3 linked regions of the Nothobranchius furzeri genome follow. The protein of the gene in region 3 interacts with the protein of the main gene of each other region in a pairwise test. Links are inferred from orthologs where the notes say so. Each region holds a gene or a part of one and is shown on either strand. Other genes may lie near its edges.

What was found. The genes of interacting proteins can lie anywhere in the genome.
Region 1: the proteins of probable nuclear hormone receptor HR38 (region 3) and prdx4 interact in a two-hybrid assay, tested with the Homo sapiens proteins (2 studies listed by BioGRID and IntAct). The link is inferred for Nothobranchius furzeri from reciprocal best matches to the Homo sapiens genes NR4A1 and PRDX4.
Region 2: the proteins of probable nuclear hormone receptor HR38 (region 3) and cyclin-dependent kinase 4 inhibitor D-like interact in binary tests that used the Homo sapiens proteins (3 or more experiments, as listed by UniProt). The two-hybrid records come from large-scale screens. The link is inferred for Nothobranchius furzeri from reciprocal best matches to the Homo sapiens genes NR4A1 and CDKN2D.

What each region holds. Positions count from the first base shown.
Region 1 is NC_091750.1:46,010,997-46,014,976, forward strand, and holds the start of prdx4 (peroxiredoxin-4), read left to right. Parts: upstream 1-1,180; 5' UTR 1,181-1,250; coding exon 1,251-1,461; intron 1,462-2,609; coding exon 2,610-2,727; intron 2,728-2,815; coding exon 2,816-2,932; intron 2,933-3,005; coding exon 3,006-3,128; intron 3,129-3,291; coding exon 3,292-3,422; intron 3,423-3,499; coding exon 3,500-3,534; intron 3,535-3,980. UniProt on the Homo sapiens protein: Thiol-specific peroxidase that catalyzes the reduction of hydrogen peroxide and organic hydroperoxides to water and alcohols, respectively.
Region 2 is NC_091747.1:71,358,396-71,361,904, reverse strand, and holds cyclin-dependent kinase 4 inhibitor D-like, read right to left. Parts: upstream 2,272-3,509; 5' UTR 2,133-2,271; intron 1,817-2,132; 5' UTR 1,799-1,816; coding exon 1,658-1,798; intron 990-1,657; coding exon 633-989; 3' UTR 501-632; downstream 1-500. Other genes in the region: ap1m2 (AP-1 complex subunit mu-2), read right to left, coding at 2,965-2,990, 3,083-3,158, 3,426-3,509. UniProt on the Homo sapiens protein: Interacts strongly with CDK4 and CDK6 and inhibits them.
Region 3 is NC_091743.1:50,513,119-50,517,316, reverse strand, and holds the start of probable nuclear hormone receptor HR38, read right to left. Parts: upstream 2,801-4,198; 5' UTR 2,664-2,800; intron 1,370-2,663; 5' UTR 1,368-1,369; coding exon 531-1,367; intron 163-530; coding exon 33-162; intron 1-32. UniProt on the Homo sapiens protein: Orphan nuclear receptor. Binds the NGFI-B response element (NBRE) 5'-AAAGGTCA-3'. Binds 9-cis-retinoic acid outside of its ligand-binding (NR LBD) domain.

The DNA.
Region 1 (3,980 bases), on a different chromosome or scaffold from region 3:
AGCAACACAGCAGGAGAAATGCCAGCACAGGCTCCCAGTATCCGTGGTTTCAGGTGCTGGATATATTGTATCTTCACACCATAGACAATTGCAATGACCCCAAAGATAAAAGTCTAGTGTGTGTGTGTGTGTGTGTGTTGGTCATCAAATTGGAGAATCATGACAAAGTTGATTTACCGTAAGTCCTCTAATACAGGCCCAGGCCTGTATTTGACTCAAGCTCATCAAAATCCAGGCCTTTATTGGAAGGAGGACCAGAATTAGAGGCAGGCCTCTATTTCTATTTGAGCAAAATGAACTAATGGTTCGCTGGAGTTTTTGACAATTAAAATTGCGCCCACATTTTCAAAGTTAAACACATTTCTTTTAACAACGGTAGTTTCTGCTTCAGCCCTCTCCCCCCTCCCCCTGCGTAGCGGCTGCAAACTCACTGATGCGCCTGCAGCCTCTCAGTGTTCCTGCTGCTCTAAACATTAAAATAATTATTTCATTTTCTGTTCCTCACTTCTGATTACCTTCAGTGGTGTCTGTTTGTTGCAACCACCAGGTACAAAAACTAACTTGTTTTTATTTGACTATTTTTCTGTCCTGCCTGTTTATTATCTTCCTGCATCTTCTCTCAATCCTAAAGAAAAACTGCTACCTGGGTTCATATATATTCACCTTATGAGTTACCTTTGAACTGCAGTTCTAAAAGATCTACCGACCGCATGTTCTCTTTGAACTTGATATCAAATTTTCGTCTCCTCTTCATCTCCGCATGGTTAAAGTTACCCTCGCGGTCTATCACTCGCAAATCAAAAGTGAGACGATGACACAACCGCCCCCGTACTTGCTTGTTATCACATTCCACCCGGCCACAATAAGAGACCGGCCATTATTCACCTCCGCCGACTCCGACACCGGCCAAAATATGAGACCCGGCCGTTAATTGAATACAGGCCTGTATTAGAGGATTTATGGTATTTCAGTAATTCCATTCAATAGTGAAACTCATATATTAGATTAATTCATTATCACAGACTGATATATTTCAGATGTTTATTTCTTTAGCTTTGATGAGTGCAATTGATAAGTAATGAAAATCCCAAATTCTGCAGCCATGCCCTCATTTGAAAAGCTAAAGTAGTTGTAATGCTATTTGTCCCCAGCAGGGGGCGGCTCGGGGCAATAGTAAAGACACTTCGCTTCACGAGAAGAAGAAAACAAGGAAAAGGTTGGAACGCACCTCCGTTTTCAGAAACGCAACAATGGTGTCTGGTACCAACACCAATGTAAAGAGGGACCTTCTCTGTGCTTTTTGCTCCGCTTTGCTGGTTTTGAGCTCGGTCACATCCGCAGAGGAAGGCGCTCAGCTGAAAAGCTCCCAGTGTCACAACTATGCAGGAGGACACGTCTATCCCGGAGAGGCTTTTCGTGTGCCTGTCTCTGACCATTCCCTGCACCTCAGCAAAGCTAAAAGTGAGTCCCTTTCACGCTTTCATTCACTATTGGACCATACTATCATTTCCCAAACGAAACGGTGCGGTTTTGAGTGGTTTCCTCTCCTGGGAACCTGCAGCAGGTCTTTGGTCTCACGAGGACAACATGTGCATTGATGCAGGCTGCAGATTAACTTGAGATGTCTGTGACACCTGGTCAGAGTCTCGTGCAATTTAGAGTCTTCCCTTTAATACGTCTCAGGCCTAAAACGTTAGATTTGTTAAGGACACGTCACTCAATATTTGACAAGATTGTGTGTCCCGCCCCTTTGGAACTGCTCCAAAGCCAGCAACACACACACACACACACACACACTTATGTGCTTATTTATTTAAATTATTCAGGTTTATAAAAAACATTTGGACACACATTCTATTATGTTCCAGTCACTAGTCATTTATATTTCACTATTGTAGTAATTCTTGCATGCTTTAATGAAAAAAGTAACTAGGTAGTTATTTTTCTTGGTAATTAGTTACTTTTATAATCTTGTAACTCAGTTAGTAACCGAGTTACTTTTTTGACAAAGTAATCAGTAACTATAACTAATTACTTTTTTAAAGTAACGTTCCCAACACTGCCAGGGAGAGGGAAGTCTGGGCCAATAGGCGGCTGCCCCCGCGCCCCAGCCTCGGATAAGCGGCTGAAGATGGATGGAAGAAGTATATTATGCAGATTGTGTCCAGTGACCTTTTAGGAAATATAGGGCCTCAAAACTCAGTGGATGAATCTCGGAGTAAAATTAGGTTTAGATATGTTTTTAACAAATTTGTCCTCAAAATTTACAACTGGACCCATAATCATTTCAGGACTGGACCCTAACAGTCATTTTTATAAACCACCACAGTGGAAGAACACTGAATCCGCTAATCAAACCAAAGATCCTAAATTCTAGCAGTTATACATGGATTTATTTTCACTTATTGAAATGACACTAAGTATAACATTTTTATTCTTACTTTGTTTCAAATAATTACTGCTTTGTTCCTATCCAGTTGGCCTTATTTGTTTACTGGTAATAATTCCATTCCCGGCTGGTATTTGCTGAACGTACGGACGGTGTTTGGTCTGTAAATTCAGTTTTAATTCATGAGTGCATGCTTGTTTGTCTTTCTCTCCTGCTTAAGTTTCAAAGCCTGCACCGCATTGGGAAGGAACAGCTGTCATCAACGGGGAATTCAAAGAGCTGAAACTGTCTGACTACAAGGGAAAATATCTTGTGTTTTTCTTCTATCCGCTGGACTTGTAAGTACCTTTTGAGGAACATGTCATGTAAGAACTTTGTGTCTGCCTGAATTTCAGAGCATATTTTGTGTATTTTTTCTCCTTGCAGCACATTTGTCTGCCCTACTGAGATCATTGCTTTCAGCGACCGTGTGCACGAGTTTCAGGCCATCAACACGGAGGTGGTCGCCTGCTCAGTGGACTCCCAGTTCACCCACCTGGCCTGGTGTGATATCCAATAAGCTGTGGGTCGTTGGTGTAGTTTGGTGTGTTTTTGCTCACCATTTCTGTTTTAACAGGATTAATACCCCTAGAAAGCAGGGTGGACTTGGACAGATGAAAATCCCTCTGCTGTCTGACCTCACCCACCAGATTTCTAAAGACTATGGAGTCTATTTGGAGGACCAGGGACACACACTGAGGTGTGCTTTAACATTTATCACCTTCATCAAGTGACCTTGTGTGGCTGTTTTGTTGATGGCATGGACAAACTGTCAAACACGTGTGAGGGATGTTATTTATTTCTGTGAGTTATACATTTAGCCTCTAGGTAGAGCTAATCTCCCATGTCTGTATGTTTGTCAGAGGTCTCTTCATCATTGATGACAAAGGCGTCCTGAGGCAGATCACCATGAACGATCTTCCTGTTGGGAGATCTGTAGACGAGACTCTGCGGCTGGTCCAGGCTTTCCAGTACACAGATAAACACGGAGAAGGTACATGAAGCTACTTTTCTTTCTTGTCTTTTATTCACCACATGGGTTATGATAACTGCCCTGTTTCCCCTCCACAGTGTGTCCAGCCGGGTGGAAGCCAGGCAGCGATACAGTAAGTAGAACCCAGACTGTGGTGATCTTTAGTGTCTAGTTAGTTTCGTCTGTTTAGACATTTCACTTATCGTTGAGCTCAAAGGATAGCTGTGACACTAAACCTTTTATTTGAATGAGTCTACTGATCTTACAAATTGGTTTTTGAAGTACATTACGTTTTAACATTTCATGATATTTAAATCCATTTAGACTTGATTATGGTTAGTATATGTGTGCAAATGTAAGCTATATGCATATTATATGATTTTCATTGTTTTAACATATTTTAAAAAAAAACTATTTCTGATGATGTGGCAGTTCACCACGATCCATTACATGTAGAGGAAACCGTGATTTTATATACGCATGCAGAGTTCTACCTCTTATGCAGAGGCTTAATTATACTATTGGGTGTGTTATTGGTATTTAATAATGTAATTTTTACAAATATAATCTTTGTAACCT
Region 2 (3,509 bases), on a different chromosome or scaffold from region 3:
CCTCCTATAACCATTTAGATTCTATTTCAACACCAAACCCCACAAGTATTTACTTGCTCAGAAAAACACAAGACATCAAGTTCATCACTTTATTTTGTGCTCTCTTCTGCAAATATTAAAGTGAATAATCTCACTTTTGTCTTAAAAGTATTTGTATAAATAACATTTCAACAAATCACAAAAAAAATGCTGCAATTTACATCACAAAGGGAATATTAAGTCATTTTCCAACAATAAATAATAAGTGAATTGAAAGTCTAAGTTCATCTAATGAAGAGAAACAACTATGCAAAGCAATCAGGGTTTGTTTTTAAAAAGAAACACGCGAGTAGGAACTGCTACAACTCTTACACAATCAAAACAATTAGATAACACTGGGACAACCATCTACAAATGTGCGCTCCCGGTAATGGGGAAAACAGATATATGTAAATTTAAGGTGCCTAAACTGCACTGTGCAAAAGGTGTCTACAGTATAGAGCCACCCATCCACAACAATAAGCTGCCAAGACAATATGTCCTGTGTCACATATTAATGCTAAGCCACCAATAACTCCGATTCTTTCATACAGCAACATATTCAAGTTTCAAAGCAAAAACGAAACAGTGTGAGGTTTGAGTTTAGATCAATCTTATGAACTGTGGACGTGAGCGAAAAGCGAGTCCATCATATCCGGCACACACGAAGCTCTGGCCGCGTCTACGGCCGTCTGGCCGCTGGTGTTTGCGTGTTTCAGGTCCGATCGCGGCGCCAGGAACTTCACCACGTCCCGGTGGCCTTCTCGGATGGCGATGTGAATGGGCAGCGCTCCATTGTGGTCGGGAAGGTTCACCGAAGCCCCGTGCTCCACCAGAACCTGCAGGGTGTCGAGGAACCCGGTTCTGGCAGCGTCGTGGATGGGCGCGATGCCGTGCCTGTCCTGGAGGTTGGGGTCAGCTCCTTTTTCCAACAGCAAACTGGCTATTTTGGAGTTCCCCATCATCATCACCTGTGGGACAGAGAAAAACAAGAAGATGATGAGGGCTCATTGGTCACTCGTCACTTCCACATGTCCTCGTCATCATAAAAGCTCAATTTTCTAAAGACATTGGTCCTTTCCATACAGCTCTTAAGAGAACATGCGGATAAGCAAGACTAATTTGTAATTACTGGAACTGAAATTATTTCTAGTTTATTTAGCATGAAAGTAAAACACACTCAATTAATTTATATGAAGCAGAAATAAAAGATTTATAGTGGTCCATGGTTGCCAAATGAAATCACTTTTTATTAATGTCTTAAACTGAAGGCAAGAGCGTGACTGGCTGAAAATGTTTGAGTTTTTTTTTAATCTTGCATGAAAACAGCTTGATCAGACTGCCTAATCCTAGTCTGGTGGGTCACTGCCCTCCCAGTTTCTCTGTTCCAACTTGGTCCGAGTCCTTTGTGACCATCAGACTTACTGAGGAGGTAAATGAACCATTACACTATGTGTGATGGAGCTCGATCAGACCGACAAGTATCACAAGTCGTTTAATTTAAAATTACAGATCTCCTGTAGCATAATCTACTCTTCGACATTAAACCTTCAGAGGGATTATTTCTGAAACGTGAGAACATATTTAGCTCCGTTCTGGCACCCCTGCAGGAATCCCGTGAGGATTGAGAGCCGCTCACCTGCAGCGCGGTCCGGCCGAACTCATTGACAGTGTCGGGATGCACTCTGCATTCCTCCAGGATCCTCTGCACCTCGTCCGTGTTCCCTTTAGCTGCTGCCGCGGTCAGCGCTTTCCCCGCCTCCATCTGACTTAGCACCATGATAGTCTCTGTTCCTGCCTGATGTGAGACACACGGCCAGGTTAGAAAACTAACCACAACCACCGGCGTCTCATCAAAACAAAGAGCCAGGGACACGGCAGTCGGCTACACCTAGCTAACGTTACTACAGCATCCGGCTAACGTACCGCAGCTCCCCGCTGACACCTCCTGTAAACATGCAGTGGTTACACTTGGTCGACTGAACCAAGTTTTCCTAACAACACTGTTCGACTAAACATTCCTCGTCTCGATAGTTTTATTTCACTTTGATCAGATGTTACAAACGAGTAGCATCCTGGCTAAAAGCTAACAGTCCAACAGCTTTCAAACCTACCTTCTTTAGTTCGCCAAGAGCCGACGCGTCACCGAGTTTTAAAGCCTGCTGGTCCTACAGAGCGGTTACGTTTAAAGACGATTCAAAAGTGGAAAGTTTATCAACCTTAAAACTAGACATTTGCGCGCTGAGATCCAAACAGCTATGTGCCCGGTCTACAATTTACAAACATTGGAGAGAGACTACACTGACCAATCACAGCTCGCCTGCTCAACGTCATTCCTTCAAATATGGTCAAAGAGGCGGGGCTGCGCTGCTGTTACTACGCTATCGCTGTAGTAACAGAGGCAGCTGACCAATCAGGACACGAGGCGAAGAAAGCGGGCGATTCGTATACGTTGGCGTCCTCCAAGGGCAGTTCATTCGGATTTTCATCCTGTGGGTTCCCTCAGCAGCGTAAAAAAGGCGGGTGCAGGGTTTTAATTTTGGGCGGAATTTACAGAGTGTGTGTGTGTGTGTGTGTGTGTGTGTGTGTGTGTGTGTGTGTGTGTGTGTGTGTGTGTGTGTGTGTGTGTGTGTGTGTGTGTGTGTGTGTGTGTGTGTGTGTGTGTGTGTTAGAACACATTCTAAAATCTTTAAAACCCTCGAGAACAGGAAGAAAAAAACCACTGATGATTTTTTGCTTCACAGGGCTCATTTTAATTTAAATAAAGTTGATGCATCACAGAATACACACTGAGTTTAATCTGCAAACACATTCCATAAAACCTTTTAAAGCAATAATGTTAAAGCAGGTGATGTTTAAAAGACCTTTCAGTGCAGTAAAGTGATGATTTTGCTCATTTTGACCTTCTGGACACGTGAAAAAAAACAGTAGGAGATCCAGAAGGCTTTACACGTTGGTCCTCAGCTGGTAATCTAAATAAAAATAGAGAAAATGCAAGAGATTAAAGAAGCTATGGTTGCTTTTCTTTTTTGAATATTTTAGAAAAAGTGTAACCCTAATGTACCTCCACTCTGTGTGATATAGCGGACCCATGGTAAAGCCTGATACCCACTTTTCTCTATGATCTTCATGTATCGGACCTAGACAAAAGGAATGACTGAGATGAAGCGTGTTGAAGCAGGAACACAGGCGTGCATCATTAAATCAAATTAGCACGCGTTTCTCCACAGTGAACCACTCAGCATAACAGGACCTGACTTGACTGCATTAGTTTATGAAGTGGGAGGCATGAGAGCAGAACAAGCAGCTTAGAGGTGTGTAGACAAACAACACCACGCCTGAACAAAGTTAAGATCCAGAACAAACACTTCCAGATGCACTAGACTGTAGCGCCTACACACACATACCTGAATTCCTGAGACTGTGAAGTAGGGGATTTCAAATTTGACCGTGATGGGAGGTTTGCCCTCCGCCTCATCGTTCTCCACACT
Region 3 (4,198 bases):
ACAAACTCTTGAATGCTTTAAGATTTGCTCACCTTCTTTGACCATTCCCACAGCAAGACATTTCTGGAAACGACAGAACTGGCATCGGTTTCTCCTCCTCTTGTCCACTGGGCAGTCTTTATTGGTAAGGCACACGTACTTTGCATTTTTCTGGACAGTTCGCTGGAAAACAGAGAAAAAGAGTTGAATGCACAACGATGCATAATAACCCTGAGACAATAAACACAAATCTGACCTTTAAGCTCTTTTTTTAAAAGCAAAAGCTTTTGCTATGTTTTAACCTACATCTGTGAATACTTCCTCATCAAATAGTAACTAAACATTCAATTTCAAACAATACCTGATTCTTTTTTTAGGTTTGGATCAATAAAGATATTGAAGAAGTGAAAATATCTACATATATATAATATTAGTACAGACTTTTAAAGATGCATGATGATATAATTATGATTTAGTGCTAATTTCAGTTGGATTTAATAGAAATGTTCTACTTTTCCCTTTAAAATGTAAATCTACATTTTTTTTTTTACCTTGAAGAATCCTTTGCATCCCTCACAAGTGCGGACTCCATAGTGCTGACAGGATGCGTTATCACCACAAACTGCACAGCGACCCTCGCTGGATCCTAAGCCTGTGCTTTTAGGAGACATCATGGCCCCTTCTAATATTCTGGGGCTTTCCTGTGGTCCCTGTTCCATAGACATGGAGGGGCAATGAACTGGGGGTAAATGCTGCTGAGATGACAGGAAGAACGGATCATCTTGTCCACTGGGGGCATCCTGGTGCTGTCCCAAAGGAGAATATTGATCCTGTGCAGGGTTGACTGTAAAAAATGAGAGTTGCTGCTGAGCCATGCTGTTCTTATCCACAGAGGTCTGGAGGGCCGGGGGAAAGGGGCTGAAAGGGGAATCCCAGACAGGTGCAGACTCTGTTTGAAAGCCTGACGTTGGAGGAGAAGCAGTTCCATAGATGGGGCTTCCATAGTAGTCAGAGCCACATGACGAGAGTGTTTCTTCTAGACAGCTGAGAGCGAAAGATCCTGGGTAGCAGCCGTACACCTGGAGGTCGTCCAGCTTGAAGGCTTGGTTCTGCATCTGTGTGCTGGAGCTCTCAGCTGCTGCAGCGTGGCTGAAAGACACAGCAGAGGTGGGAGGGGAGGTGGTGATCTTGCAGGTGTAAGCATCAAACTCCCTGGTGTAACCATTTCCAACAAGGGTGTTGATGCTGGGCAGGGACGATGTGGAAAACTGGTCCTTCTGGCCAGTGATTTCCATCACCAGTGTGGCACTGAGGTCTGGATTCAAGAGCTCAGAGCTGAAGTAGTTGTCGTGGGGCAGAGATGCAAGCTGGGTTTGTACACAGGGCATTGCTGAAAAAGAGAGTTGAAGAAATTAACCATGCAGGTCAAATATTACTGCAGTAATAAACAAGGACAGATGCATTATAAAAGGAAAGTTAATCCATGCTTCTTTAAAAAAAATGTAATTTCAATTTGATGCAACCTGACAAATTTCTACATGACATTTAAGGTTATGACTTTCTTGTCACAATAAATAAAACGGTTTCTTCCTCTGTAACCATGCAAACAGTGGCCAATGTTAGCACCCTGAATGTGCTCGGTCTCATTTCACCCCGCATGCCATTTCTCTCGCTTCAGGCCCCGTCGGTCCTGGTTGGAAAATGCAGAGGGTGGTCCAGTGGAGCGCTCAGATATTGTCAGATATTGTGTTACTGGCTGTTAATGCTTTGAAAACCTCCTTCAGTGGAGGACAACCCTCTTCCACAGCGGCTGTGCCACAGTGTGCTTCAGATTGTGTTTCAGGGTTGGATGAATGCCAGCTGCAATGGCAAGGGTGATGAAGCACGTGTGTGTGTGTGTGTGTGTGTGTGTGTGTGTGTGTGGAGGGGTGTGTATCCACTTGTGTGCTCACTTCAACATTTCACAAGTGAAGCACAACCGATAAAAATCTGTCGCTTTCAGAATAAAACTTTAACTCTGTTATCAAAATAAAGTTTTCTTAATGTGATAAATATTTTTTTGCTTTTACATTTAGTAAATGACATGCTCCACGTGTCTTATCCAGCCCAAACCTATTTTCTCTACTATAGAAGTCACATTAAAACACCATAACTAAAGCTAACAGCAGCAGTATGGTGTTTGTTTTTACCTTTTTAAGGGTAAGTGACTGTTAACGCAACAAATTCTGAAAGATAAGCTAAGATAAGTACTTATTTTTATACCACATCAATCCAAACTACACTAAGAAGAGAATCTGAATAACATATGAAGATTGTGCCTTTACAAATACTTCTGTATTTGGCAACTGGCATAATTTTGGCAAATGCACACATACAGTTGAGATGGACATGAATAAAGAACCAGCCTTAACCCCAAGACAGTCTTATTGTTGCTTAAATACAATTATTTGCTTCACTGACTGGTGAGTAGCCTTTTTATTACATTTCAATGAATAAACTTTCAGCTAAACCTATAGCTTTAGCCTTGGAAATGACACCACTATTTACACATCCCTTCTATATTAAACAGTTTCAACAATAACTTAGAATACCTTGGTGTTTCAGGTTTGTGTTGCGTTTGATTGCCGGAATAAACATCTGTAACACTACACCTCTCCTGTCTCAGACAACTGACTGTAACTCACCTGTTGCATGAGAAAATCCGAATCTTGAAGTTTTTAATTAATTCCAAAGCAGAGAAACGGATGAATTCAGCTCCTCCAGCTGCTTTCGGCACACACACCCACTCAAACACATCCACACACACTCACTGGGTCAGACCAACGCAGACGGCTTCACACACTCTTGTTTTATTATGACCTCGTCAACAAAAAGGGCGGGCCTATGCCCAAACATGGTGAAACGTTCCGGATTAGCAGCCAATCAGGTGAACGCGTGACGCTTAGACGTTATTCCGTCTGACGCACGCTCGGGATTCCATTGACGCAGGAGCCGAGAATGTACGTTATTCTAAAAATAACCACAGGCGTTCACGTGGGGCTATTATTGAATGATAAAGGCTAAAAATAGCTCAATTTTTCAGTTACAGACGTTTTTGTGAATGGAAATGTAAATCTTAATGCACGTTTTAGACAGTTTGGCGTGTTATCAGAGGACTGAGCAGGAAAATCAACGTTTTGGGGTAGTTTTCTAAGTTTGATGTCTTTTATCGCATTTTAGAGAGAAAGACAGATATAACCAAAGCAATATGAACACACACACACACACACACACACACACACACACACGTGTGTGTTTTGTGCCATTATCTTTTCTAAAAATAGTCTTCCTCATCTTTTATAATGACCCCAAATGATAGGAAACATCTTGATTACATTAATGTAAGACATTTTAAGCAGGATGGCGTATTGTAAAAATGAATATCAGTCAGTACTGGAGAAATATTTATCATGGCGCACATCCAACAAGGTCCTTAGCTGCACATTTGCTGGAATATAGGAACACGTTTTACAATGGTTATATGTCTAAATATTTTCCAAATCACAAAAAAAAATTCAATTAATAAATGCTTTCTCTTTAGTACAGTAGATTATAGGTGTGTGTGTGTGTGTGTGTGTGTGTGTGTGTGTGTGTGTGTGTGTGTTGCAGCTAAGACATGCATTGCAATGCTAATGCAATGCAACAAATAAAGACGTTGTTTCATTTAAATTTTTATTCCCATCTCTTTCTATAAGAGCATCTTTGCTCATAGAAGTATGGTATTACTGTTGCTGCTAGAGTGAAGTTACTGCTGAGTGAAAGCCATCACATTTACTTCACTATTGATTGAGTCTGGTAGTGGGTTATGACTTCCACAATTGTTAGCCCATGTGATCCGGTCTACTTACACGCAGCTCTACCAGAATAAGAAAAGGTTAAGGGGCTTTAAAATGACCGAGAAGTCATGTCATGAAATGTAGCCTACTAGAAACTAAGATCTCTTCTCTGTCTCTCAGAATATGACGACTACACCCATCTGGAGATGGGAGATGCCATCGGTGCTGAAATGTCATCATTAGAGAATCCCCAGTATGGATGTCACCACTTCAGCTGCTGACATTCATTTGTCAGCATCAGTTTAAGCTTCACCTAATACCCATTATGTCATAACATTTCCAAAACAACCAGACAAACTAACATGTCCTGAAGCCTCTCAGGAGACCCTTTTGTACGCGGGCCA